4 linked regions of the Elephas maximus indicus genome follow. The protein of the gene in region 1 interacts with the protein of each later gene in a pairwise test. Links are inferred from orthologs where the notes say so. Each region holds a gene or a part of one and is shown on either strand. Other genes may lie near its edges.

Region 1 (6,927 bases):
TAACAGTAGACAGTACCGTATCTGGTATCCAAGAAATTCACTGGGGCTTATCTTGGTGTTTTGTACTCAAGGATAAGTTGAAGGCAACTGCAGCAACCATGGCCCAACCAGAGTAAGGAAAATAAAGATAAAGGTCTGGATTACCTCACCAGGGAAGCAACCTAGATTAGTTGATATGCTGGCCAAGGGTGAGGGGAAGTTAGGATGGATAGAGGAGGAGAGAGTTAAAAAATGTACATCTGCCCTTGGCATCAGCATAGCAGCAGGGACTGAAGCCTGTATTAACTCTCTTGTATTAAGTCCTTGCAGGAATCGTGGCTGGCCACCACTCTGAAGTAGCCTCTGTGAGAGAATAGACTTAATGGAGGGCACAAGCAGATCTGAATGGTGTAAGAAATGGCCTGAAATGGACACCCTCTGTGCACTACTTCAAATCTCTTCAGTCTCTTATTTCAACCACTGCTCCAGCTACCTGTTCTGAGCAAGGTTTGATGAGCTTTCAGCAAGTGTAACGTGACAGCACCTCTCCTCTCGCTTCCTGCCCTAGGACTTCTCTGATGTGGAAGCCAGTGTGACATTCACAATTGTGCATTTTGGAAGTGTGGTGTAGTTGATGACCAGGAGCATTATCCTTTGATAAAGGAGTACCAGAGCCAACAGGTAAAACCTTCTTCTATTTTTTCCCCCATTTGGACAGTTCAGAGACTCATTTCACAAGACTTCATAGAAGGTCATACAGGATCAAGAAAACATTCCAACATGCTGTTAGCCAACTCAATAACACATCCTTATGTTGACTTTACTCATTCTTGTTTCACGTACCCTCCTCCTTCCCTCATTCGTGCTCTCTGGGTTCATACCCCCAAATAAACTACTAACACATAAGTTCTTGTTTTGGCCTCTACTTTTGGAGGAAGAGGAGATACAAGGCTTTCATTTTTGTACACATTAAGTGTCAGATTTTATTAGTCCAAAAAAACAAACTCATTGCTGTCAAGTCAATTCCAACTCATGGTGACCCCATGTGTTACACAAGAGAACTGTTCCACAGGGTCTTCTTGGCTGTAATCTTTACAGAAGCAGATCACCAGGCCTTTCTTCTCAGGTGCAACCCTTAGGTTAGCAGCTGATTGCAAGCCACTTGTACCACCCAGGTATGCAGTGAGCCTGAGGCACTTACTGGATATCTAAATGGAAATGTCAGGGGGGCAGTTGGATATACAAATCCGGAATTCAGGAAAGAAGTTCAGACTACATAAATAAATGTGAAATACAATTCATTTCCCTGCTTTGAGAGGGCTGTAACCATACAGGTAAACAAAAGATAGAAAATAGAACGAAGTAACACATGCAATTGTCACATAAAGAGTGTCCACAGTAAGTGTTTGGAGATTGACTAAGCAGGGACAGAGGCGTTTTTATACAGAAAGGACTCGATAGAGATCACACTCTTGAAACGGAAGTCATTCCATGAAAGTGAAAAGATTCCAAGCAGCATTGATTAGACCATATTATTTTCAATAACAAACGGATCTCTACAATTTCTGTGGTTTTTCCCACCAAATAGTATCTTCGGATAAATAATGAAAGACATTTTGCACAGCTGATTTGTCACTTTCTCAGTGAATCCGTCCCTGGCAGAATGAATTACTACCTCTTTTGCATATCTACAATGTTATGAATTGAATCGTGTCCCCCAAAATTGTGTTATAAACCCTAATTCCAGAACACTTAATTGTGCTCATGAGCAACCTGTACATAGACCAAGAGGCAGTCATTCCAACAGAACAAGGGGATAGAGTGTGGTTTAAAGCCAGGAAAACTGTGTATCAGGGTTGTATCCTTTCACCATACTATTTAATCTGTATGCTGGGCAAATAATCTGAGAAACTGGACTATATGAAGAACTTGGCATCAGGATTGGAGGAAGACTCATTAACAACCTGCAATATGCAGATGACACAACCTTGTTTGCTGAAAGTGAGGAAAACTGAAGCACTTACTGGTGAAGATCAAAGACCACAGCCTTCAGCATGGATTACACCTCAACATAAAACAAAAATTTTCACAACTGAACCAATAAGCAACATCAAGATAAATGCAGAAAAGATTGAAGCTGGCAAGGATTTCATTTTACTTGGATCCACAATCAATGCCCATGGAAGCAGCAGTCAAGAAATCAAACAATGCATTGCATTGGGCAAATCTGCTGTAAAAGATTTCTTTAAAGTGCTATAAAGCAAAGATGTCACTTTGAGGACTAAGGTGCACCTGACCCAAGCCATGGTATTTTCAATTGCCTCATGTGGAAGACGGGAGAAAAATTGATGCCTTTGAATTATGGCATTAGTGAAGAATACTGAATATACCATGAACTGCCAGAAGAATGAACAAAATCTGTCTTAGAAGTACAGCCAGAATGCTCCTTAGAAAGGAGGATGGCAAGCCTTCTTCTCGTGTACTTTGGACATGTTATCAGGAGGGTCTAGTCCCTTGAGAAAGACATCATATTTGGTAAAGCAGAAGGTCTGCAAAAAAACAGGAAGACCTTCAATGAGATGGATTGACACAGTGGCTGCAACAATGGTCTCAAACATAGCAAAGATTGGAGGGTGTCACAGAACTGGGCACTGTTTCCTCCTGTTGTGCATGGGGTCGCTAGGCATTGGAACCAGCTCAAAATCACCTAACAGCAAGAAACTAAGACACACGGTATTTCATCTCTTTTTTCTTCCTTTGTTGTTGGGTTTATCTCACTAGGGTACAATTTATGCATCTATTTGATAGGGTCACTATAAGTCAGAATCGAATCAACGGCAACGGGTTTTTAAGGGTTTTTCTCCAATGATAGTATGACCCCCTTGTGGGTGGGATCCCTATCTTTGTGTCTCTAGCACCTAACACAGTGCCGAAGATTGATTATTAAATAAACGAACACATGCATGAATGGATTTCTACAGCAACTTGCAACGACATGCTCCTTTGAACTTCCAGCACACTTATCTGACCTGTACCTCTCTTCAGTCACTTATTTTGTATCCTCTTTTTTATATTTATTTATATCTACATCTTGTCTGTCCTACCATACTCTGAACTCCTTCAGGGCAGGATTCATGTCCGAATCACCTCTGTACCTGGTATCAACCTGTCTGGTTTAAAACAGGTGCCAGGGATATGGAATCAATGAATCATTTGCCTTCCCACCAGCAACACTGGCAACACCCGTGCTTCTCAAATGTAAATGTGCGTAGGAGTCATCCCCTTAAGATGAAGATTCCGATTCAGTACATTTGAAGTGGGCCAAAGAGGCTGCTTTTTCTAAAAAGTTCCCAAATGGTACCCATGCAGCAGGTCCGCGGACCGTACTTTGAGTAGCAAAGTCATCGAAGCAATGATTCTCGCCCTTAAAGGTGTATTTAGAATAATCTGGGAGCTATCGAAAGTGCTAGTATCTGGGTCGCATCTCCAGAGTTTTAACTCATTTAAACTCTCCACGCTTTTAAGTAGCCAGGAACAAGACTTAAGCATCACAAACGCAAAAAATAAAACACTTCAGCTGATACCCTCTTAAACGAATTGCTGAAACATCTGAGTAAATAATTCTTCTCAAAAGTAATACATCGGGCGGCACCAAAGCCTGCCGTTTCAAGTCAGCGCGCGGTAGCGGCCGGGTCCCTGACCCTCCTTGGCGCAACTCCTCCGGCGAAGCCCCGCCCCGCCGCGCCCTGCCCCGCCGCGCCCCACCCCACCGGTGGCGCCACGCCCCTGCGTCTATTGGCCACTCCCTTTTTCCCTCCGTTTTTTCCTCCTCTACAGGGTTGACTTCCGGCTCGGAGCTTTGTCACGTGCCCGGATATGGGAAGTGGTAGGGAAACGGCTGCTTCCCGTTCACCGCTTAATTGAGGGGAGCTTTCCAGTACTGGTCGCCGCCTTGCCGCGTGCTGTCTCGGTCTTGGAGGGCCCGCCTCGGCGCAGCCGGGCTCGGTACTGTCCTGCGGTAAGCCTTCGGTCGCGGCTGCCCCGTAGTCCCGGCGGCAGGCAGACGATCGGGCGGGCGCCAGGGCCTGAGGCGGCACCTCTTTCCCACTGCTGGTTCGGCGACCGGGGTCAGGGCACAGCTCCCTCCGACGACAGTCCCTCCTTCTTTTCCCGGCGTCGCTGTGTAGGGCGCAAAGTCTGGGCCGAGCTTCCCCCACTTGGCCTGGGGTCTGGGAGAAAGTGGAGCAGAGAAGGCAATCTTCACACATCCGTTTCCGGCTCCGCCTTTGGGGACCAGATTTCATTTTTATCCTTGATTGTTCGAGCTTTGGAGTGGACGGGAAAGGAGGGTGTGGCAGTGTCTCCCCGCTCTCTCTTTTTTTTTTTCTCCCTAAGTCTATATTTTCTTCTAAGTTTCTTAAGTACATTCCTGTCTTGGTATGCCGTTCTCTTCACTGCATGACGGCACTCCACGCGCTAAAGTGTGTCGACAGCATGCGGGGCTCCACCCACATGGACGCTCACTGACAAGCTGTCACCACAAGCCCACCACAGAGTGGAATGGTCCAACTGAATTTAAGGAAACAAGAACGAAAACACAGAGTATGCAGTGGCTGGCTGCCTCTGGAACATAGTCAGACACAGGTTCTTAGAGCTGGAAAATAATTTTAGAGAACCTGTAATGATTTATTTACTGCCTTCCAGAAAGTATTGTAAAGTGGAGAGTAGGTTACTTAGCTCTTAGAATGTAAATGCCACGAAGACAGGGGCGTCTTCGTGTCTTCATGAACGTGTTTATCACGTTCAATAGAGAGATACCTGGCCCTTCATAGGCATCAGTATTTGCTGACCGAATGAGGGGCCCCACAGTGCTTTTCATTTATGTCTAACATCTTTATGAGGTATACCCAATCCTCTCTTGTTTTACCATTTACCATGCATTGAGTCCTTGCTTTTGGCCAAAGAGGGATCATGTGGTAAATGTTGGCCACTATTAGTCATTCATTTGACCAGTTTTTACTAATCAATTTAGATGGCTCAAGAGGTGTTTGTCGAGTACCTACTATGAATTCAAAACACTTTGATAGAGTGTGTGTTTGTCTCCCTCTCTCTCCCCCTCCTTTTTTTTATTTTTTCTTTAAAAGAGTTCTCCAGATCCAGGAGCGTATGATGTCATGAACCAATTAGACAGCCAGTGCTTGGTTGTTTATTAAGTGCAACTGAAATTGAGAGTAGAGATCAATTTGTACTTAAGATCCTTACTGAGTCAACATCATAAAAACCCTGAAGTGTAATTACATTCCCTGTATGGAAAAGCACCTAAGTGAAGATTTAAAGCCTGAAACTTGGAGTAGGAGGTTCGGATATAGAAGCATTAGGAAAATCTTGAATGAGGGCATGGTGTGATGAAGCTGTGTTTTAACATTATCTGCTTATTGGAGTTTTGGGGGGTTATGGAAGTTTGCAAAGAGATGGCCTGATGCTATAGTATTTAAATATCATGGATGATGTGAGTCTGGTTTAGTGTGGTGAGAATGGGAACAGAAAGGAAGGCATGAATTATGTGTGTCGGGGGGGGGAGGTAACAAAATGTGGTGACAGATGTTGAGAGTGGAGGAGAGGAATCAAATAGGGCAGATTTTAAACCTGGGCATTTGCGTACAGGTGTGAGAGTTGGAAAGAGGGAACTTTTTGGAAGCCGTAGTTGTTAAATTATTTAGTGCTATCATTTTAGTTGATTTAAGTATTTCTTAAATGCTTACTAAGTGCCCTTTGCCAAGTTCTAGGAATACAGAGACGAATATGACATGATCCTTACCTATAAAGAGCTACTTTTAATGGAGAAGAGAAGAGAATGTAGCTAGCTGGAAAATACAGTTGGTAAGTGCTGTGCTAGTGTAGTAGAGAGTTAGGGAAGTAGAAGAGGAATTTTTTTGGGGTGGTGGTGGTGGTAATAGTCTAGCATGATCTTAAGAGGGGAGTTAGAATTTCCTAAGGAGAAAAGAAAAAGATATTGCATGAGCATAAGCCCAGATATAGAAAAGTAAACTGGCCAGTGTTCGACGTGGTGTAGGGTGGAGTAGAGCTTGTGAGCAAGTGTTTAGGCCCTGGAACATATTAAGGGATTAGTAATGGGCATTTTGTAATAGGCGAAAAAGAGGTTAGGATGGGTGAAGATGTAGAAAGATGGAGACAAAAGCAATTGGGGAGAATTATACTTCATGGCCTCTATATTATCTGCAAGTCAGTGATACAGTCATCTGTGGAGAGTGAGGGGGCCCACACCATTTGGGGTCTAAATCAGAAATAGTAAAGATTTGTGACAACAGTGATGGCAGATGGGAAAAGGAAGCATTAAAGGAAGTGTAAGTGTTAAAGAATTGCCGAGCAGCATTGAAAGTCCAGGTTTGGATGAATTTCGATATTTAAAATGCAGTCAGTGAGCACAGATATGTGGCTTTCTTAAGTGGCCTATATTGTTGTTGTTAGGTGCCATTGAGTCGATTCCAACTCACGGCAACCCTGTGTACAACAGAATGAAACCCTGCCAGGTCCTGTGCTATCCTGACTGTTGTTGCTATGCTTGTGCCCATTGTTGCAACCACTGTGTCAGTCCATCTTGTTGAGGGTCTTCCTCTTTTTCACTGACCCCCTACTTTACCAAGCATGATGCCCTTCTCCAGTGACTGATCTGTCCTGATAACATGTCTGAAGTATGTGAGATGTGGTCTCGCCATCCTTACTTCTAAGGAGCATTCTGGTTGTACTTCTTCCAAGACAGATTTGTTTGTTCTTTTGGCAGCCCATGGTGTATTCAGTATTCTTCGCCAACAGCACAATTCAAAGGTGCCAGTTTTTCTTCGGTCTTCCTTATTCATTGTCCAGCATTATGCGTATGAAGCAATTGAAAACACCATGGCTTGGGTCAGGCATACCTTAGTCCTAAAG
Region 2 (7,269 bases), on another chromosome or scaffold:
ACTACTGAAACTAATAGAAGAGTTCAGCAGAGTATCGGGATACAAGATAAACATACAAAAATCAGTTGGATTCCTCTACACCAACAAAAAGAACATCAAAGAGGAACTCACCAAATCAATACTGTTTACAGTAGTCCCCAAGAAGATAAAATACTTAGGAATAAACGTTACCAGAGATGTAAAAGACCTATACAAAGAAAATTGTAAGACACTACTGCAAGAAACGAAAAGAGACCTATCTAAGTGAGAAAACACACCTTGCTCATGGATAGGAAGACTGAACATCGTAAAAATGTTTATTCTACTGAAAGCAATCTATAGATACAATGCAATTCCAATCCAAATTCCAACAACATTTTTTAGTGAGATGGAGAAACAAATCAACAACTCCATATGGAATTAGAGGCCCCAAATAAGTAAAAAATTACTGAAAAAGAAGAACAAAGTGGGAGGCCTCACTCTACCTGATTTTAGAACCTATTATACCACCACAGTAGTCAAAACAGCCTGGTACTGGTACAACAACAGATACACAGACCAGTGGGACAGAATTGAGAATCCAGACATAAATCCATCCACATATGTGCAGGTGATATCTGACAAAGGCCCAAAGTCTGTTGAATGGGGAAAAAACAGTCTTTTTAACAAATGGTGCTGGCATATCTGGATACCCATCTGCAAAAAAAAAAAAAAAAAAAAGAAACAAGATCCATACCTCACACTGTGCACGAAAACTAACTCAAAATGGATCAAAGGCCTAAACATAAAACCTAAAATGATAAAAATCATGGAAGAAAAAATAGGGACAATGCCAGGAGCCCTAATACATGGCATAAAAGGTATACAGAACATTACTTAAAATGCAGAAGAGAAACTAGATAACTGGGAGCTCCTGAAAATCGAACACCTATGCTCATGCAATGACTTCACCAAAGGAGTAAAAAAAGATTACCTACAGACTGGGAAAAAGTTTTTAGCTATGACATTTCTGATCAGGTTCTGATCTCTAAATTCTACATGATATTGCAAGAACTCAACTACAAACAGACAAATAACCAAATTAAAAATGGGCAAGGTATATGAACAGGCACTTCACTAAAGAAGACATTCAGGTAGCTAACCCATACATGAGGAAATGCTCAGGATCATTAGCCATTGGAGAAATGCAGATCAAAACTACAATGAGATTCCATCTCACTCCAACAAGGCTGGCATTAATCCAAAAACACATAACAATAATTGTTGAAGAGGTCGTGGAGAGACCGGAACACTAATATACTGCTGGTGGGAATGTAAAATGGTACAACCACTTTGGAAATCAATTTGGTGCTTCCTTAAAAAACTAGAAATAGAGCTACCATAGGTTCCAGCAATCCCACTCCTTGGGATATATCCTAGAGAAATAAGACCCTTTACACAAACAGATATATGCACTCCCATGTTCACCGCAGCACTGTTTACAATAGTAAAATGATGGAAGCAACCAAGGTGCCCATCAATGGATGAATGGATAAATAAATTATGGTATATTCACACAATGGAATACTACGCATCGATAAAGAACAATGATTAGTCTGTGAAACATTTCATAACGTGGAGGAATCTGGAAGGTACTATGCTGAGTGAAATTAGTTGCGAAAGGACAAATATTGTATGAGACCACTTATAAGAACTCGAAAAATAGTTTAAACAAAGAGGAAAATATTCTTTGACAGTTACAAGAGTGGGGAGGGAGGGAGGGAGAGGGGTATTCACTAGATAGTAGATAAGAATTATTTTAGATGAAGGGACAGACAACACAATAATAGAAGTCAGCACAACTGGACTAAACCAAAAGCAGTTTCCTGAATAAACTGAATGCTTCGAAGGCCAGCGTAGCAGGGGCGGGGGTCTGGGGACCATGGTTTCAGGTGACATCTAAGTCAATTGGTATAATAAAATCTATTAAGAAAACACTCTGCATCCCACTTTGGGGAGTGGTGTCTGGGGTCTTAAACGCTAGCAAGCGGACATCTAAGGTGCATCAATTGGTCTCAACCTACCTGGAGCAAAGGAGAATGAATAACACCAAAGACACAAGGTAATTATGAGCTGAAGAAACAGAAAGAGCCGTGTAAACCAGAGACTACATCAGCCTGAGACCAGAAGAACTAGATGGTGTCCAGCTATAACTCGTAACTGCCCTAACAGGGAACACAACAGAGAATCCCTGAGGGAGCAGGAGAGCAGTGGGATGCAGACCTCAAATTCTTGTAAAAAGACCAGACTTAATGGTCTGACTGAGACTGGAAGGACCCCGGAGGTCATCGTCCCCAGACCTTCTGTTAGCCCAAGACAGGAACCTTTCCCAAAGCCAACTCTTCAGACAGGGATTGGACTGTGCTATGGGATAGAAAATGATACCAGTGAGGAGTGAGCTTCTTGGATCAAGTAGACACGTGAGAGTGTGCTGGCAGCTCCTGTCTGGAGAGGAGATTAGAGGGCAGAGGGGGTCAGAAGCTGGCCGATTGGACATGAAAATAGAGAGTGGAGGGAAGGAGTGCACTGACTCATTAGGGAGCAACTAGGAGTATAAAGCAAGGTGTATATAAATTTTTGTATGAGAGACTGACTTGATTTATAAACTTTCACTTAAAGCACACACACACACACACACAACTGTCATAAAAAGCAGCCCAAACAAAATAGTGAAAGAGAGAAAGGTAAAAACCACCTCAAAAAGGAAATAGTATACAAGGGATAAAACCTGCTGTTATTTCTTCCACCTTAAAAATCAACAATTTTTTTTTTATTCTACTCTTCACCCTCAGCCACAGCACCATTTTTTTGCTCTCTGCAGCAAAACTCCTCAAATGAGTTGACCATGCTTGCTGTCACTAATCCCTCTTCTTTCATTCTCAAAGTATCCTATCACCACCACTACACCTAAACTACCCTTGTGTGACCTTCATACCAATAAATCAACCCTCATCTTTTTGCAACCCTCATCTTACTTGACCTCTCAGCAGCATTTTACACAATTGATCATTCTTCTCTTTGATACACTTTCTTCCTTGGCTCAAGAACCCCACAATCTCTTGTCCCCCACCCCCACCCCTACTTTTCAATCTACTTTACTTGTTCCTACCTCTTTATAATGGAGTAACCTGATCTCTTCTCTCAATTGCACTCACTGGTAAGTAATTACATCCAGTGCAGACCTGGTAGCACAAATGGGCACAGCAGCCCAGGGGAAAGGACGAGAAGGCAGGAGGGGACAGGAATGCTGGAGAAATGGAAATGAGGAACCCGAGGTCGAGAAGGGGAAAGTGTTGACATGTCGTGGGGTTGGCAACCAACGTCACAAAACAGTATGTGTATTGATTAATGAGAAACTAATTTGCTCTGTAAACCTTCATCTAAAGCACAATTAAAAAAAAAAAGTATGTTACTAAATGAAATGTAGCTTTACAAATTACACCTGCCCCCTTACCCCAGTCCTATAGCCCTCCATCCCTTCATCGTGGAGACAAAAGTGTTGATTAAAGTGGCCGGTGAGGGTTTCAGAGAGCAGCTAGTCTACCACAGATCAGAACAGCTCCAGGGCTTCCAGCCGGCTGGACCGGTGAGGGCACTCAAGGGCAGGCCTGGCAATCGGGGAGGAAAGGAGCCTCGGAGCAAGCCAGTGGGGGATGGAAGTGCCGAAGAGAAGGAGGGCCTGGTTCTTGGTCCCCAGGTTGATTTGGAGCGAGTCGTTCCAAATCTCAGCATTTCGGGGCCCCTTCTCCTGGATTTCAGCAAGGTCCTGCTTGTGGGCGTGACAGGCCGGGTTTGGGGCTCAGACATGCTCTGGAGCACGGGGAGGCAGGGAACAGGGATGGACTTGAAGCACAAAATGTTGGGGATGTTTAGTTCACCAAAGGTTGGGGAGCGCTCATCTCATCCCGATGCTCAGACCCCGCCCCCCCGACTTTTCGGGTCTGCAGGTGGAACTGACAGGTTTCACCATCGTCAAGTAGCAAACGTCAGCCCGGGAGGCCGGCTGGGGGTGGGGCCAGACGCGGGCTGGAGTCCCAGGCCACCAGCAGACCTGAGTCAGCGGGCAGGGAGGCAAGGTCAGTGGAGGGGCGGGCCCGAGGAGGAGGCGGAGCCTGGGGAGGCAGGCGACAGGCCCGTGGCCAGGCCGGCGGTGGGCTGAGGCCGGCGCGGGCGGCTGGGCGGGGCCCGGCCTGCGGGGTCTGCGCCTGCGCGCGCTTGGAGGGGCAGGGCTGCGTGCGCGCGTGGTGCGCGGCCCGAGGGCGGAGCCCGGGCGGGCGCCGGTGAGGGGTGCGCGGCGGCACGGTCTGGCGCTCCCTCAGGCCGCGGGTGCGCTGCTGGCAGCTGCGGGTCGGGCGGCCGGGATGTGACAGGCGGCCTCTCGCCGCACCTTTCCTCCTTCCGTCCTTGGGCCCGAGGGCCGCCGGGGCCCGTAGGCCGGCCACGGCGGAGGAGGCAGCGCGACCTCTGCGCGGTGAGAGGCGGGCCGGGGTCGGGGCGGAGTCGGGCGGGCGCCTGCGACTGTAGGGGCCGGGGGCGCGGCCGGGCGCGCGGAGGCCGGTTCCCCGGGCGAGGCGGCGCGGCGTCCTGCGCCTCGGGGGCTACCCCTCGCGCCCCGCGAGCTGCCGGGGCGGGGTCGGCGGCACCGGCTGGACGCCCCCCGCCCCCGGGCCGTGACAGGCGCGCCAGGGCCGCGGGGCAGCGCCTTTCTCTGAGGAGAAGACGGGGCGCGGCTGCGGTGCCCAGGGGTTTCGGAGCCAGGATGCTTGTGAGGCTTGCTGGAGGAGAGTCCCGGGGTGCCCCGAACAGGGGCTCTCGTCGTTGTTCATTACTAGGCCCGAACAAAGACACACCCTGAACACACCCCGAGGTAAAACTTTGGCGGACCACGGTGCTGCCGTAGGGACGGATGCTTTTCTCGCTCCTTGGTAGACACCTGCGGTTTTTGTACGGACGTTTTTATGCACCTACTTTCTTGTCATTAGGAAAGGAAGGATGACTCCTTGGAAAAGCTGTCCCTCGGTGGCTGAGCTTGAGTTTGAATTTCAATAATTGCAAATTCATCTTTGTAGACTACCCAGCCAATTCAGCTTGCTGTTCCCAGGTTAGGCCTGAACCGTCTGGAAACGACTGATAGCTGGACTCGTCGTGGTCCCCGATTGGAATCTCAGTGTTTCATTCCTATGGGTGAGATAATTGGGTTGTTAACCTTTTGAAAACAGCTATTTTAAAAGGCATTCCCTTTCTTTTTTTTCCCTGAGCGTTGAAATATTAATGGAACCTATTAATTTTGCCCCCCCCCTTCTTTTTTGGAAGCATCATTTTTTAAAAAAAAAAGTGGTGGCAGCTCTTCTTCAACCTTAAGATACTCTCCTTTGCAAAAGATCTTTACAAAATATGTCTTGTTATTTGTAATCAATATATGATAAGGATGCAAACGTTCTTGAATGTTTGGCCTGAAGTCCACCTTCTTCATTACTGTTTGCCTCTACTTACTGTTTCTTATTTGGTTGTTTTCTTTAATGTTTTAAATAATCTTTGAATAAAAACATACACTTTCTTGAACCGTTTAGCTGTGTGTATTGTCTTAGTTCAATGTTGTATTAATATGCCATAGTCAGAAGCTGCTAGAAGTCATCCTGGGAGTAGGAAGTGTCACCCCCCCCCCGCCCCACCCGCTTTTTAAATCACTCTTCTACAGCACTGGGTTACCTTTTGAAATCCAGACCTGCATTTTGCTTGTTACCTTTACTCAACTTCCTTGTATGGTGGAAGAGGGAGACTTTGATTACCTGTTTAAAAGTCCTTCAGTGACTCTCTATAGCCTGTATTGGTAAGACTCAAAGTCCTTCACCTTTTCTGGTACATGCCTGCACTCCATTCCAGTTTTATCTTCTACCATTACTTCTGCCCTCTGTATGCGAGACTACTCGCAGTTCTCAGAAGACCTTTTCTTTTGTATTTAACTTACCCTGTTCCCTCTGTTGAGAATTCTCTTTTTCTCCTCTACCTGGTTAACAACTTGCCCTATAAGACCTAACTGAAATACCTCCTCTGATCTGTCCAGACATTTCGACCTGCTTGTCTTGACTGATAGAGACTTGTCCTTCTGTACTGCATCCAGTAGTACAGTGTACATTCCACAGTTAGCGTTTGTCCATTGGTAGTTATTTATGTATGCATTTCCGCCACCAGATTTTGGGGAAAGAAGGGACCTTTGCAACTCTAGCACACGCTATTGCGAGGCACAGGTGCTCAAAAAGTATTAAATGAATTACTTTTTGAAGAATGAGAATGGTTTCAATCTTTTTTTTTTGTAATAGCTCTTTTAAAAAAATTATATTTTACTGTGTTTTCAGTGAAAGTTTACAAAGCAAATTAGGTTCCCATTTGACAATTTCAGTACAGGTTATTCAGTGACATTAACTACATTTCTTACTATGTACCCACATTCTCTCTAATTGCGTTCTGGTTGTTCCGTTTTCAGTGCTCTAGTTTCCCTGCCCCCTTATCTTCTCATATTTGCTTTAAAGTAGTTATTGACCTTTGGGTCCCATATAGATGGTTTTTTAATGGAGCACAGTAATCATTGGTAATATCCTTTATTTCGTGTGCCAATTTCACTAAAAGGTGACCTTGGGATAGTTTCAGTTCAAGGTTTAAAGAGAATCTCAGGGCGATAGTCTCAGGGAGTCCTCTGGTCTCAACTGGTCTGGTTAGTCTGGAGTTTTTAAGAATTTGCAATCTGTTCCATGTTTTCTTCCCATTCTATCAGGGTGCATCCCTAGAACCATCAGTAGCGGTAGCAGGGCACTATCTAGTTCTTCTGGCCTCAGGGTAGATACTGCCGAGGCCCTTGTAGGCTGTTAGCCCTGTAGACTAGTTTCTTCTCTGAGACTTTGGTTTCCTTCTTTATCTTTTGCTCCAGACAAGTAGAGACCAGTAGTTGTATCTTAGATTACTACTTGAAAGCTTTTAAGACCCCAGACGCTCGCTACTCACCTCCCTAGAATGCAGAACATGAACTTCGTGAACTGTAAGAATGGCTTCAGTCCTGAGTATGGTGTTAAGGTCAGCAAAAATGCTGCAGACTGCCTCTTTTCATTATCAGAAAACTTAGAATGAATCATAAGGTACTTGTAAGTTTTCCAGAACAAAGTCAAAATTGTTACTGCTGGTTAGGAATGAAACCCCAGTTATGATGGGGAAAAAACATCCGTTTTAGGACTCAAGAATAAAAGGAATGGCGAGTAA
Region 3 (6,961 bases), on another chromosome or scaffold:
GGGGACCTCATACTACCAAGAAAGCAGTGCTGGGAGCAGAGTGCATCCTTTGGACCATGGGTCCCTGTGTGGAGAAACTCCTAGTCCAGGGGAAGATTGATGAGAAGGATCTTCCTCCAGAGCCAAGAGAGAGAGAAAGCCTTCCCCAGAGCTGATGCCCTGAATTTGGACTTCAAGCTCACTAGACTGTGATAAAATAAATTTCTCTTTGCTAAAACCATCCGCTTGTGGTATTTCTGTTATAGCAGCACTAGATGACAAAGACAGGTATAAAATATATTTCCTCTAACAAACATGGTATTGGCTAAAATTTACTGAGAATTCACCATGTGCCAGGAGCTGTTATAAGTGCATTACATGTATTAACTCATGAAAGTATCACAACAATCCTATAGGTAGGAACTACTGTTACCCCCTATTATGTATGCTTTTATAACATATAAGTCACCTATGTGTAAGTCACTATTATTTGTACTTCTGTAATGCTTTGTACACAGTTATGATGCTCCTTAAATACCTATATATGTCATTTATAATATAAAATTAGAAATAGAATTTCTGAACTTAGAAATGGAAACATGTATACACTGTATCTATGATGGTCTCTAACATTACCTGTAAGTCATTAGAAACATATGTCATTAGAAAGTCGTTCTAACCTTAGAAATAGAAAACAGAAGTTTGTGAAGTATGTAGTAAACAAGGACATAAATATGTCATATAGCAAACTCCATCATTTCTAATAAATCAAATCTCTGTAAATTGGCTTTGGGACATACATATATCATGTTGTTGTTAGGTGTCATCAAGTTGGTTCCAACTCATAGTGACCCTACGTACAACAGAACGAACCACTGCCCAGTCCTGAGCCATCCTTACAATTGCTGTTATGTTTAAGCCCATTGTTGCAACCTTTGTGTCAATACACCATGGACTGCTATACATATGTTATACACAAACCAAAAACACCAAACCCCTTGCTGTTGAGTCAATTCCAACTCACAGTCACTACCTTAGTCATCTAATGCTGCTGTAACAAAAATACCACGAGTGAATAGCTTTAACAGAAATTTATTCTCTCACAGTTTAGTAGACTGGAAGTCCAAAATCAGAATGTCAGTTCCTGGGGAAAGCTTTCTTTCTCTGTTGGCTCTGGAGGAAGGTCCTCGTCATCAAAGTCCCACTGGTCAAGGAGCTTCTGAGGCACAGGGATCATGGGTCTAATGGATGATGCACTTTGCTCCCCGTGCTTTCTTCGTAGTATGAGATCCCCCGTCTCTGCTTGCTTCTCTTTCCTTTTATCTAGTAAAAGGTGGTGCAGGCCACACCCAAGGGAAACTCCCTTCACATTGGATCAGACCTGTGACCTTAGTAAGGGTGCCACAATCCCACCCTAATCCTCATTAACGTAATCTAATCTTGCCTCATTAACCACAGGCAGAGATTAGGATTTACAACACACAGGAAAATTACAATCACAAAATGGAGGGCAACTAGGCAATACTGGGAATCATGGCCTAACCAACTTGACACATACTTTTGGGTGACATAATTCAATCCATGACACTGTCCTATAGGACAGAGTAGAATTGCTCCACAGGGTTTCCAAAGCTGTGATCTTTATGGAAGCTTACTGCCACATCTTTCTCCCACAGAGAGGCTGGTGGGTTCAAACTGCCGATCTTCGGGTTATCAGTGGAGTGCTTAACCACTGTGCCACTAGGGCTCCTCATGTCATACAACTATTTCCTTAACTGACAATAAAATATATTAACGATTCAAATCTCTGTATGGCCTTGAAACAAATATGTCACAATTCCTTTAATTGGCAATAAAACATACCAAGTATGGTTAAACATAACAGCACCTAACCCTTCTTATGAAATCAAGATAAAAAATACTGTGGATAAACCCTTTGATTTCTGCTCACCTCCTGGAGAAGAAAGCATGGACAAAAGGTCTCTCTGACTCTGGTTCTCTCTGAAGACCAAGAGCCTGCTGAGATCATACCCATCACAACCAACCTTGGACCCTGGCTATTGGGGACCTTCTCTGAGTTTGAGGAGTGGTCAAGTCTTTCTTCCTGAGACTACTCATGAAAGGCCTGAAGTCTAAAGATTTAGACTCTAACACTAATCGTTAATTCTGATTCTCCAGTGCTAAATGAATGTCTTGGGGTCTTAGGTGTGTGCCTTGTTATGACTACCTTGCAATAAACTAAACGAGTTTATGCATGACAAACCGGAGCATTTATTTATTCTTAAATTAAAAATCCTCCAGGACACCCCAGTTTTACAGATTAGAAAACTGAGGCAGAGAGAGGCTAAATGATTTTCCCAAAGTTGTATAGCTAGTGAGTGATAGAGCCAATATCTGAACCTCAAGGACAAAGGAATACCCTGGCTCCTCCCATACCTGAAGAACCACCTCTGGTCCTTCCTCATTCCTATAATGATTAAGAGAAGATTACTTTGTTTACTTGTCCCGATAAAAACCCTAGGTAATATCCTCTTATTTATTGCATTAATGAATGCCATAGCCTGAATAAAACCATTTCCTTAATTGTTCAGGTGCATGTTGTCTTTCTACACCAGTTTTGTATTGAACTGTGTTTCCCATAAAGACAGATGTGTTGAAGTTCTGTGAATGTGATCTTGTTGGGAAATAGGGTCTTTGGAGATGTTATCAGTTAACGGGAGCTCCTACTGGAGTAGGGTGGGTCCTAATCCAATATGACTGGTGTCTTTGTAAATAAAAGGGAAAGACACACACAAAGGGAAGGCGGCCATGTGATGACAGGCAGAGTGGAGTTAATGTTGCAACTGCAAGCCAGGAACGCCTGGGTCTACCAGAAGCTGAAAGAGAGACAAGAAGGAATTATCCCTAAAGCCTTCAGAGCCACGCAATTAAAAAAAAAAAAAAATTACCAAACTCATTGCCATCTAGTGGGTTGGGAGTCATAGTGACCCTCTAGGACAGAATTGCCCCATAGGGTTTCCAGGGCTGTAAATCTTTAAGGAAACCGACTGCCACACCTTTCTCCCCAGGAGCTGCTGGTGGGTTCCAATCCCCAACCTTTTGTTTAGCAGCCCAGCGCATCAATTAAAGGCCGGATCAACCAGTAAGCAAGGTATCCACGGGTTTAACTGTGTTTACTTACTCATCTGTAGTGCACATTTTCACGTGGGTTTCACAACGCCATGTGGTGGAAAACAGTGAAATCGTGCACTACAGATGAGTAAGTAAACACAAGTAAACACGTGTTTACCTTCCTTATTGGGTAATCCGTCCCTCTGGTCCTTCTTCATTCCTAATGATTCAGAGAAGATTCTTTTGTTTACTTTTTACCCTAGGTTGATATCCTTTTCTTTGAAAAGGTTGCTCTGCATAAAGCCCTGCAGACATCCTAAACTCGGATTCCTACCCTCTAGAATTGTGCGACAGTTAAGTTTCCCTTCTCACGAGCCACCCACTTTGTGGCACTTTTAAGGCAGCCTTAGGAAGCTACCAACAACGACCACATCAGGAAACTAATACAGTACCTTGGTAGAAAACATTTGCCGACCCCAGCTCTAGATGCTCAGCCCTAGTTCTGAAACCAGAATTTTCAGTATTGCTTAGAAAAAACTTAGAAATGCAAGTCTTCAGCCCCACCCAGGACTACCGCTTTGCCGTGGGGCTGGTCCGTCTCTTCAACATGCCCTCTAGGCAATTATGTTCACGTTATAAGTCGAGAACCACAGTTCGCGGCGCTGTACTTTATCAGACCGGTGAAGGTGCATTGCTAACCTCGGCAGACGCGCTGGAAGACCCGGCGGGCCGCCGCCGCAGCCTACTCTGAGCGCACTAGGACCGCGGCGGCGTCAGCCTCGCAGCCGCCGTCATCGCCCGGGGCGGGGCTCCGCTGTGCGGGAGCAGGAGCTTCATTCCTCGGCCCGCCCCTGGAGGCGGGTCCAAATTGACTAACTCTGGGTCTAGGCAGCCCGGCGGCGTCCTCCTAGGTACGGCGTTTTCCTAGCTAATGTCACTCGGACTCCGGGCTCGTCGGTAAGTGGGGACGGGTATCCCGCGGCCCCTCACTCGCCATCTGGAGTCGCCAGCAGCGCTGTGGGCGCGGGGATCCCGAGGTGCCCGCGAGGCGGGTCTAGGGGTGTGGCGACCGAGCGCTTTTGTTCTGCGGGGAGGACGGAGCCCCAGGCCGCGGGCCTCGGTCTCCCACGCGCGTCCGACCCGGGCCGCCGCCCCGAACCCTGCCCGCCTGCCCGCAGCGCTCGCCGCCTGCCGTCGCCTGGGCGGATCCTGGCCCGCTGCCGACGCCGGAGCCCTCGACCCGAAGGGCGGTGCCTTGCTGCCTGTTTTCCTTGAACTGTCCGCCTTTTTACGGTCGAGGTCGCGGGTGGCGAGAGCGGGTACTCATTTTGTTCAACTATAGGCGGTTGGTTAGGTGGCTGCGTGTTTTTGAAGTTGCGTATGTTTTTAGCGAAAAGGAAAAAAAAAAAAAAAAAACCTTTGTTTTGCGTGTAGTAATCCTCGAGATCTTTCCTCTTCCCCCGCGCCCTTTATGCTGAAACCTCCCTAAACAGAATTGCTCCGCTTGCATCTCCGAGCGGCCCGCGAACGCTTCGGTGTTAGAGATGCTTTCTGTCCCTCTGCAGTAGTTCCGCGAGGCATTTTTAAATGCGTAAATGCATACCCTTTTTAGGTGTTCTTCAGGGACGCGAAAATGTCCTTAGGGTCCTGAGTTCAGCATCACGCTTTCTGGGAATTGTGTTGGTGTAATTGTATGCTTTCAGTGCCTGCCTTCAAAATAAAGAGATAAGCAGGTGATGTCTTTGAGCTTGGGGGCGAATTTTAGTAGGCGGATCGCGCCGCTTGTTTGGGGCTTTTTAAGTTTCTGCTAAATGTGTTAGCCGTAAATCATGTGTAAGTTTTACCCAGTAAATGTTAACACGCACTATGTTAAGGTTTTACTTACTGATTTGTTTCCTGTACAATCTGGCTCTCTTAGTAAACCTGTTAAATGTTCAAATTCAAGCCATAAATTTTGGCTAATCGCACAGTAACCCCGGACATTCTTCCAGGGCTGTTTTTCAGAGCTGCGCAAAATTTGTACCAGGTGTCCTGGGTAAGGTCAGGTTGTCTCTAGAGACAACCTACTCTCAGACGCAGACTCTGGAATGCACTAATTGGGACCTGAGAGCCTAGCCTGGTTTATATCAGTTTGACTGTCCTTCTGATCCGGTGAAGCAAGCCAACCAATCATTAAACAACCCAAACCGGACAGTAATCAATGACTTATCTTTCCAAACTATTGTAATCCCTCCCCCCAAATTAAAGACCTTTTCCTTAACCAATTACTTAGAACTTAGTTTCCTCACTGTCTTTAAAACCTTTCCTTGATTTCCAAAAAATGAGCTTCACGTGTGTTAGGCACTGAGTTAAATTAATCACTCAATAAACCTTGTTCAAAGATAAATAAAATTGCTAGTGTAAGTGTGTTTATTTTGGAAAGATAGGACAATGGTGGACCTGGAGGAACACCCAAGAATTACAACCTAAAAAGTGAGTGGTATTTTGAGGTCAGACCTAATTTCTACTCTTGATACTTAGCACACGTAATAAGAATTTCAATAAACTTGCTAGATGGTGTTAAACATTTTTATAGGGGCAAGAGTTAAAGTGGCTTCCCTGGGTCAACAGCCAAACAAATTAGTCATAAGGTCACTTATAAGAAACAATTTCACACAGAATCTGAAACATAGGCAAGTTTTCCTTATTATCAACATGAGTTAACAATCCTTAACAGTGTGAGTTAGCAACATTTATCCAATCAAGATAAGCCAGTTTCACATTCAGTGACCAACTTTCTCAAAACAAAAGGAAAATTAAATGTGACTAACCAATTAAACGGTAAGATACCCAAGCTTTAAAAGGGCTTTGTAACTCACCCCCCTCGCCATTTTCAGTTTGGGCTGCTCTTGTACAGTTTCTCAGTCAATAAAACCAAACCCATGGCCACAGAGTTGATTCCGACTCAAAGTGACCTTAAAGAACAGTAGGACCATCTCATGGGGTTTCCAAGGAGTGGCTGGTGGATTTGAACTGTCAGTCTTTGGTTACCAGGCAAGCTCTTAAGCACTACACCACCTGGGCTCCCCCCACTCGGTAAACCCTGCTAACTCTAATTGACTTGTTAACCAAATTTTTGAACAGGTGCAAACTTAGGTAACCCAGTTATCAAATTGCAATGTCAAGTCATGTAACATTATCGTGTGGCTCTTATTAATTATAAAATGTCTGTTGTTTATTCTTAGGACCAAGTATATGCTTGGAGGGGGATTGACTTGTCTGGAGGGAAACAGGAATAGACAATAATTGAATGATAAAATTGTTTTTAAAGGTAAGCATGTTACCTCTGAGAAGTCTACAGTGATTTAACCAAGTGATTATTCACACTCTACTTAGGTAACAGCCCCCTAAAATTTAAATCTTTGGGGCACTTGACTAAAGGATGGCTGCCTCTGGGCCTGAACTCAAACTTCATTTTGAAAAAGCCTGCTCTACTCTAAGAAGTTAACCTTTAAACAGAATTAATCTGGTATCTAAGGAAATGTTTTCTTTTGTAATCAAGCCATGCAGGCCACTCCCAGGAACCACATTGTATGAGAAAGCTATGTTAGCAGAAAAGAATGTCCTGTGATTGTGTTGTAACTACTCTGTAAACCCCCTATAGTCACCTAGTGGTAACTAATGAACAAAGACTTTTTAAGTCAATCATGTAAACCCACATATGTTGTGTTCATCAATTACTGTAAACCACCTCCCCACCCTGCTTTCCTTGATCCACCTTTGACTTTTACAAATCACTAGTAAGCCAATCAGAATATTGTATTGTTAGTTCCTGGTTTAATAATGTAAACATTGCCTAGATGCCTGTGACCTCTTAGAGAACATAGTTTTA
Region 4 (7,472 bases), on another chromosome or scaffold:
ACTGTTCCCTTCCCCTCAATCTCACACTCAATTGTTTCTCAAGTACTGTTAATTTCGCCTTTTTAAATGTTTCTGGAATACATCTGTTATGGGTCAAATTGTGTCCCCGAAAGAATCTGTGTCAACTTGGCGAGTATCGTGTGACTGTCCACTATTTTGTCTTCTGATGCGAATTTCTTATGTGTTGTAAATCCTACCTATATGATGTTAATGCAGTGGAATTAGTGAGTTTTGTTAACGAGGCAGGGTTCAATCTAATAGATTAGGTTGTGTATTAAGCCCATCACTTGAGATATAAAAGAGAGAAGTGAGCAGAGACACGTGGGAACCTCATACCACCAAAAAACAAGAGCCAGGAGAACAGTGTATCCTTTGGATCTGGGGTCCCTGTGCTAAGAGGTTCCTCAACTAGGGAAGGTTGATGACAAGGACATTCCCCTGGAGCCAGCAAAGAAAGAAAGCCTTCCCCTGGAGCTAGCACCCTAAATTTGGACTCCTAGCCCGTGAGAGAATACATTTATCTTTGTAAAAGCCATTCGCTTGTGGTATTTCTGTTATAGCAGCTCTAGATAACTAAGAGAGAATTTGTTTACTGGGAGTAGGGTGCTGCTCTAATAGATACCTAAAATGTGGAAGTAGTTTTGAAACTGTGAATGGATAGAGTTTTAAAGCTCCTAATAGTAAAAGCCTAGACTGCCTTGAAGAGACTCTTGGTGGAATTATGGACATCAAAGACAATTCTGGTGAGGACTCAGAAGAAAGTGAGTAGAGCTGTTACACTGGAGACGGTGCAGACAGAAAGAAGCAGTAGCAGAGAAACAGCATCAGCAGAATGAAGAGACTAGTGTGAGATGGTGCTGGAGCTTACCCATGACACAACGTGAGAGTTGAGTGCCTCTGCACAGAAAGCTTCCTGGCAGAGTGGGATGTCTCTGAGTACTTATTGGTGGAGCTAAGCTTGCCAACTGACATGAATTGAATTGTGTCCCCCCAAAAATATGTGTCAACTTGGTTAGGCCATGATTCCCAGTACTCTGTGGTTGTTCTCAATTTGTGATTGTAATTTTAGGTTAAAAAGGATTAGGGTGGGATTGTAACACCACCCTTACCCAGGTCACACCCCTGATCCAAAGAAAAGGGAGTTTCCCTGGGGTGTGGCCTGCACCACATTTTATCTCTCAAGAGAGAAAAGGAAAGGGAAGCAAGCAGAGAGTTGGGGATCTCATACCACCAAGAACGCAGCACCAGGAGCAGTGCATGTCCTTTGGACGTGGGGTCCCTGTGCCTGAGAAGCTCCTCTACCGGGGAAGATTGAGGACAAGGACCTTTGTTCAGAGCCCACAGAGAGAGAAAGCCCTCCCCTGGAGCCAACGCCCTGAATTTGGACTTGTAACCTACTAGGCTCTGAGAAAATAAATTTCTCTTTGTTAAAGCCATCCACTTGTGGTATTTCTGTTATGACAGCACTAGATGACTAAGACACTGACCCACAGAGCAAGAGAGCTGAATGCCTTCCAGCTGAAGTGTACTGGCAGAGTGGAGTGCCTCCAGGCACTTATCAGTGGAGCCACAGAGCTTTGAAATACTTTCCTGAGCTGGGCAGACGCTGGCTGGCAGCAAGGTCCGAGAGGCCAAGAGGTCAAGGAACCAGGAAGCAGAAGCTGAAGAGACAAGGAACACAGGAAGCAAAGCTTGCTCAGTCTCACAAGGTAGGGCTACAAACTCTGGGGTCTCAAAGGGTAGAGTTGACACTCAGATGAACTAGAAGAATGGTGTCACCCAAACACAAGGGAACAGTGTTGCCCTTCCAGTGGGCCAGAAGGTGGAGCTGAAGCCCAGGGCAGAGGGGCCTCCACACAGAATCCTGAGAGTGTGGCCAATACCTAGAGTCTGGAGGGCTGGGGCATTGTGAAAATAATCTCAGAGAACAGAGGATTATATTTAAGCCTTCAGAGCTGATGTAACATGTTCTGCTGACTTGCTTGGTGTCTATTATGCCTTCTTTCCCTCCAATTTCTCCCATTTGTAATGGAAATGACTAGCTTGTGCCTGCCTGTTGCACCATTGTACTTTGGAAGCAGATAACTTCTATTCCACATTTCACAGATGAAAGAAATGAAGGCGAATTTTTGGATTTTGGACTTGATCTAAGACTTTTGCTGTATGATGGGCTGAATGTGTTTTATATGTGGCAAAGACATGAATTTGGGGGGGCCAAAAGGTGGAGTGTTATGGGTTAAATTATGTCCCCCAAAGAATGTGTGTCAACTTGACTAGTATTCTGTGATTGTCCACCCTTGTCATCTGATGTGATTTTCTTATGTGTTGTAAATCTTACCTCTATGATGTTAATGAGGTGGGATTAGTAACAGTTATGTTAATGAGGTAGGGCTCAATCTACAAGATCAGGTTGTACCTTAAGTAATCTCTTTGGAGATATAAAAGACAGAAGTGAGCAGAGAGACATAGGGTCCTCATACCATCAAGAAACAAGAGCCATAAGAATAGCACGTCCTTTGGACTCGGGGTCCCTGCTCTGAGAAGCTCCTTGACCAGGGAAGACTGATGACAAGGACTTCCCCCTAAACCCAACAGAGAGAGAAAGCCTTCCCCTGGAGCTAGAACCCGAAATTCGGACTCCTAGCTTCCTGGGCTGTGACAGAATACATTTATCTTTGTAAAAGCTATCTACTTGTGGTATTTCTGTTATAGCAGCAATAGATAAGAAACATCCTTCATCCTTTGTCTAGATATTCCATAAACAGCTCATATTCAAAATATTCAAAGCTTAACTCATTACTCCCCTCTCTCAAACTTGCTCCCCTTCCTAGATATTCTATGATGTCACAGCCATTTGCCCAATTGCCTACTATGGAAATTAGGCATCATCCTAGACTTCTCCCTTTTCTTTGCTTCTTATAACCAGGAAACTACCAAATCCTGAGGCTTAGCCTATTTGCCTCTTAAATCTACCATGTCTCTCCATCCTTACCCACTTCTGTTTATTCTCAATGCTATCAGTTTTCACTTCCTGCAGTAGTACCCTAACTGGTTTCCCTGCCTTCAATCTTCACCCTCTGACCTCTTTTCCACAATGTAGCCAGAATCTGATCATGTCAGCACCCTCCCTGCCATTGTTTTCTAATTCTCTGATTCCTGGTATTTTTTTTAAACTCCTATACTGCAAGAGCTAGGAGAATGGTGCTACATTCCATTTCATCATTTTCCATTTGTCTCCCTGTACCTAGCACAATGTACCTGCCACGTAATAACCAGATGTCATTGAGCTGACTCCATCTCATGGCAACCCCATGTATGTCAAAGTAGAACTGTGCTCCACTGGGTTTTCAGTGGCTAATTTCAGATATGGATTGCCAGGCTTTTCTTCCCAGGTGGCTCCTGGTATATGCAAGCCTCCAAACTTTGGGTTAGCAGCCAAGCGCCTTAACTGTTTGCATCACCCAGGGCCTCCTGGGACATAATCCACAACCACCAAACCCAGTGCCAGACCATCAATTCCAACTCATAATGACCCTATAGGACAGAGTAGAACTGCCCTACAGGGCTTCCAAGGAGCAACTGGTGGATTCAAACTGCTGACATTTTTGGTTAGCAGCCGAACTCTTAACCACTTTACCACCAGGGCTCCATACCATCTAATCCTGTTGCCATCAAGTAGACTCCTTTCAGCACCATAGGAGAGTAGAACCGCCCCCATAGGGTTTCCAAGGAGCAGCTGGCCAACCTTTTGACTAGCAGCTGAGCGCTTAACCCCTTGACCACCAGGGCTCCTGGCACATAGTAAAAAAAAAAGTAGGTGCTCAATAAATATGAACCTGTGCTCACCTCCTCTCTGGGTTATAGGTTATTTACTACAGATAAATCCTTGGCATGTTCTTGGTGTCTGGGACTTCTGGAGGCAAAGCAACATGATACGGTTCACTGTTATATAGGTTGGAGGCCTGAAGTGAAAGTTATCAGAAACTGCAGTATAATAAAACAAAAAAACAAACCTGTTGAGGTCGAGTCGATTCCAACTCTTATCGATCCTACAGGACAGAGTAGAACTGCCCCATACAGTTTCCAAGCAGCGCCTGGTGGATTCAAGTTGCCGACCTTTTGGTTAGCAGCTGTAGTGTGTAGCACTTAACCACCACACCACCAGGGTTTCCTGCAGTATTACAGTGCCAATGAATTGTGTACTCAATACGTAAAGTTAGATATATCCCAAGATATCTTCATGGTGGGGCTTTATGACTTCATGGCTCTGGACGAATGACTTCACTTTTCTAAATCTCCACCTCCTGATGAAATAAGCGTCCTGAGGCAGAAAACTTCAAAGCCGCCGTACCGATGAGAAATAATGGGCCCCCTTTTTTTTTTTTTTACGTAGTGACTGGCACGTGGTAGTGACTGGCACGTGGTAGTGACGACAGGCACGTGGTACTGCGCGCGTGCGCGTGACGAGAGGCTTTAACTCGGCGCGGCCCTCCCGGCGGCCCCCGGGGGAGGCGGGACCTGGCCGATTCCCGCGGTGTGGTCCCGCCATTGGCGGGCGGTTTGAATGACGGAAGTGACGATGGCTCGGCGATGGCCGCCCCGCAGGCGCACAAACGGCTGTTTGGAGGCTGAGTGGCCGTGGCTGTTCGGTCCTGCTGCTTCTGGGCTTCCGTTTCTTACTCCGGCTCCCCATTCTCAGGTGAGTGACGCCTCGGCTTCCCCGCAGTCCTGGGCGTGCACGACTTCCAGAGGCCCAGGAGCTGTGAGTGTGCTTAGGCAGGAGGGGATTCCATGAAAGGGCCGCGGAGCTAACAGCGCGCCCCGCGGTGGCCTCGGCAAGTCGCGGGCCCTGGCCCGGGTCGGGCTGGCGGCTGCAAAGAGCGCCGGGGCAGGAGGCACGTCCCGATTCAGGTCCACGAGCTTAGTGCGAGAGGCTGGTCGTCAGTCTTGCACGCTTGTGGCTTTGTGCGCCCTCCCGGGGTGCGGGGAGGGATCGCGTGGGTTTGCCCTGCAGTCTCCCGGGTCGCTTGATGGCCAGGAGGACTTCCGCGGCTGCTGCAGACACTTGGCCGTGCATCTTGCCTACCCTTCCCCCAGATCGCTGTGAGCATGGCCTGAAACTCGGTAGCCATTTAAGAGCCTTGCCTGGAATCGTTTCATGCAGCGAGTGTGCTCTGTTTTGGTGTCTGCCACTTTAAATTTTCCATGTATTCAGCCCTGTCACGAACCGAGATTTTAAAACAATGGCCAACGTCTGAGCCTTTAATGCTTAGAATGTAGTAGGCATTTTCACATTCATTAAGTCACAATCATCATAACAACCTGCTGGGGTAACTATTATTATCCCCGTAATACGGATTAGGAAACAGACCCAAAGTGACTAAGTGACTTGGTCATTGTCTTCTTGCTAGTAAGTTGCACTGTTAGTCTTGAACCCACATCTAAGTCTGCTATTAACTGAATGATTACCATGTATCAACCAGGGGCTTTATGCTGCAGTCCCATTTAATCCTCAGAACAAAATCTTGCAAGGTAAGTAGAATCATCCCTGTTATTGGATAGCAATAATACTTAGAGTTAAAAAATCCATATTGATTTGAATAAGTAATTGAATAAATAAATAATGGGAGAACAGGGAAACTTCCTTAAGTAGAATTCCAATTCATAAGTGTAGAATAAATAGTGAAAATAGACAATCTCTGTTTGATGAACACAGTAATTGTTCTAGACCAGAGTCATCAATGGATACTAAGTGGGCAAAAGTACCATGAGAATCAGGGTATTTACATAACCTCAAAGTATCTGTCCACGAGATACTTACAGTTTACAAGGAGAAGTAGTAACATTACAGTGGAGAACCTGGTAAGACACCATTTTAATTAGTGATACGTCACTGGTCGTAACATCAACGTCGTTTATCTCCTGATCTGATGCACTGAGAAAGGCACGTCGTCACTTCTGTGTTATTCTTGCCCAAAACACATAACGGCAGTCTAATCAGACAAATCCAAATTGGGGAATATTCAACAAAATAACTGAAGAGTATTTTTACAGAAATGTCAAGGTGTTGAAAAGAAAGGCAAAGACAAACAGAGGAACTGTCCCAGATTAGAGGAGACAAAGGAGACATGACAACCTTGGCAACCTGAAAATATACTTGAACTGTAATTGGTCAAGTGCCCCAGCTGCTGCACTCTGAAATCCTTCTGCGTGGAGGCAACACTTTTCACGGGCTTCTGTCATGATACTAAAGCAGACCTGTTCCTGGGAGACAAGGAATTGGATCAAGAACTCATTGGAGGTCTTGCAGAGCCTTCCTCAGACTACATGGCAGTCTAAGAGGCATCTACCTAGCTTTCCCTCCCTTCTTCACTCAGTGTCAGACTTGAAGTCTGAGGCTCTCCCACTCTTTACCAGCTACCTCCCCATTTTCCCTCATAAAATCTGTGGGGTTTTAATCCCATCTTGGCATCTGCGTCTTGTAGGATCCTGAGTAATGTGTGTTCTTGAATTGGATCCTGGTCCAGAAAATGGACATTAGTAGGGCAGTGGACAAAATTTGAATAGAGTCTGTGGATTAGTTAATAGTGCCAATGTGAATTTTCTGGTTAAATCTGAAATTATTTTCAAATGTCAAGTTTAAAAAATATATATATACACACACACATATATAGATAGATATCTACATACACACACAAGAAAACAAGTTATTCTGTCACATCTTAGGGGCTAAAAATAACAGATGTGTATATGATGTTTCCCTGTAGTCCTCTGGCAAATGAGAATGATTGGTGCTCAAAACAATCTGAAAAATTATAACTTATTTCTTTTTTAGGAAGTATAATTTAAGTAGAATAAAATCTACAAATCCAACTATACCATTTGATAAATTTTCACATATGTATACACCTGTGTAACCACCACACCGATCAAAATACACATTTCCAGCCCCCCCCAGGGTGCCTTTGTGCCCCCTCCCAGTCATTAATCCTCATAAAGGTGACCCTTATTTTAACCTCTTTCATCATGGATGAGTCTTGCTTGTTTTTGAACTTCATGTAAATGGAAGTTTATAGTATATTTTCTTTTGTGCCTGGCTTATATCTTTCAGTGATATTTTCTCTGATATTTCATCATGGATTCGTTTTAATAGTTTGAATATGAGTGAATTTTCAAAGATCTTCAGACAAATTAAAAAAGGCACACTGTGAAGACTAAATTCAGTCTTGCTCATTTTTTCTTCTTTGTTCAGTTCTTCGTTGTTCTTCAGTATCCCCACTCATGAAAAATATTAGCTTAAATAAAATGTTCCTCCCTCTAAAGGATGTCAGAAATTTAGGAACCATTTGGAATAATGAAACCAAATTCTTTTCTTGGCTCTGCTGCTAGATACTGTCACTTATGGCAAGTCCTTTAATTCAGGAGGCCTTTGTTCACATCTAAAATGGAGAAAACAGTAGGCAGCTATCATT

What was found.
Region 2: the proteins of EXOC1 (region 1) and CCSER2 interact in a two-hybrid assay, tested with the Homo sapiens proteins (2 studies listed by BioGRID and IntAct). The link is inferred for Elephas maximus indicus from reciprocal best matches to the Homo sapiens genes EXOC1 and CCSER2.
Region 3: the proteins of EXOC1 (region 1) and RESF1 interact in a two-hybrid assay, tested with the Homo sapiens proteins (2 studies listed by BioGRID and IntAct). The link is inferred for Elephas maximus indicus from reciprocal best matches to the Homo sapiens genes EXOC1 and RESF1.
Region 4: the proteins of EXOC1 (region 1) and CEP295 interact in a two-hybrid assay, tested with the Homo sapiens proteins (2 studies listed by BioGRID and IntAct). The link is inferred for Elephas maximus indicus from reciprocal best matches to the Homo sapiens genes EXOC1 and CEP295.

Annotation. Positions count from the first base shown.
Region 1 is NC_064823.1:105,280,774-105,287,700, reverse strand, and holds the start of EXOC1 (exocyst complex component 1), read left to right. Parts: upstream 1-3,907; 5' UTR 3,908-3,997; intron 3,998-6,927.
Region 2 is NC_064826.1:125,879,970-125,887,238, reverse strand, and holds the start of CCSER2 (serine-rich coiled-coil domain-containing protein 2), read left to right. Parts: upstream 1-4,251; 5' UTR 4,252-4,489; intron 4,490-7,269. UniProt on the Homo sapiens protein: Microtubule-binding protein which might play a role in microtubule bundling.
Region 3 is NC_064822.1:90,450,759-90,457,719, forward strand, and holds the start of RESF1 (retroelement silencing factor 1), read left to right. Parts: upstream 1-3,953; 5' UTR 3,954-4,047; intron 4,048-6,314; 5' UTR 6,315-6,400; intron 6,401-6,408; exon of another isoform or gene 6,409-6,961. UniProt on the Homo sapiens protein: Plays a role in the regulation of imprinted gene expression, regulates repressive epigenetic modifications associated with SETDB1.
Region 4 is NC_064825.1:27,305,297-27,312,768, reverse strand, and holds the start of CEP295 (centrosomal protein of 295 kDa), read left to right. Parts: upstream 1-4,470; 5' UTR 4,471-4,564; coding exon 4,565-4,699; intron 4,700-7,472. UniProt on the Homo sapiens protein: Centriole-enriched microtubule-binding protein involved in centriole biogenesis.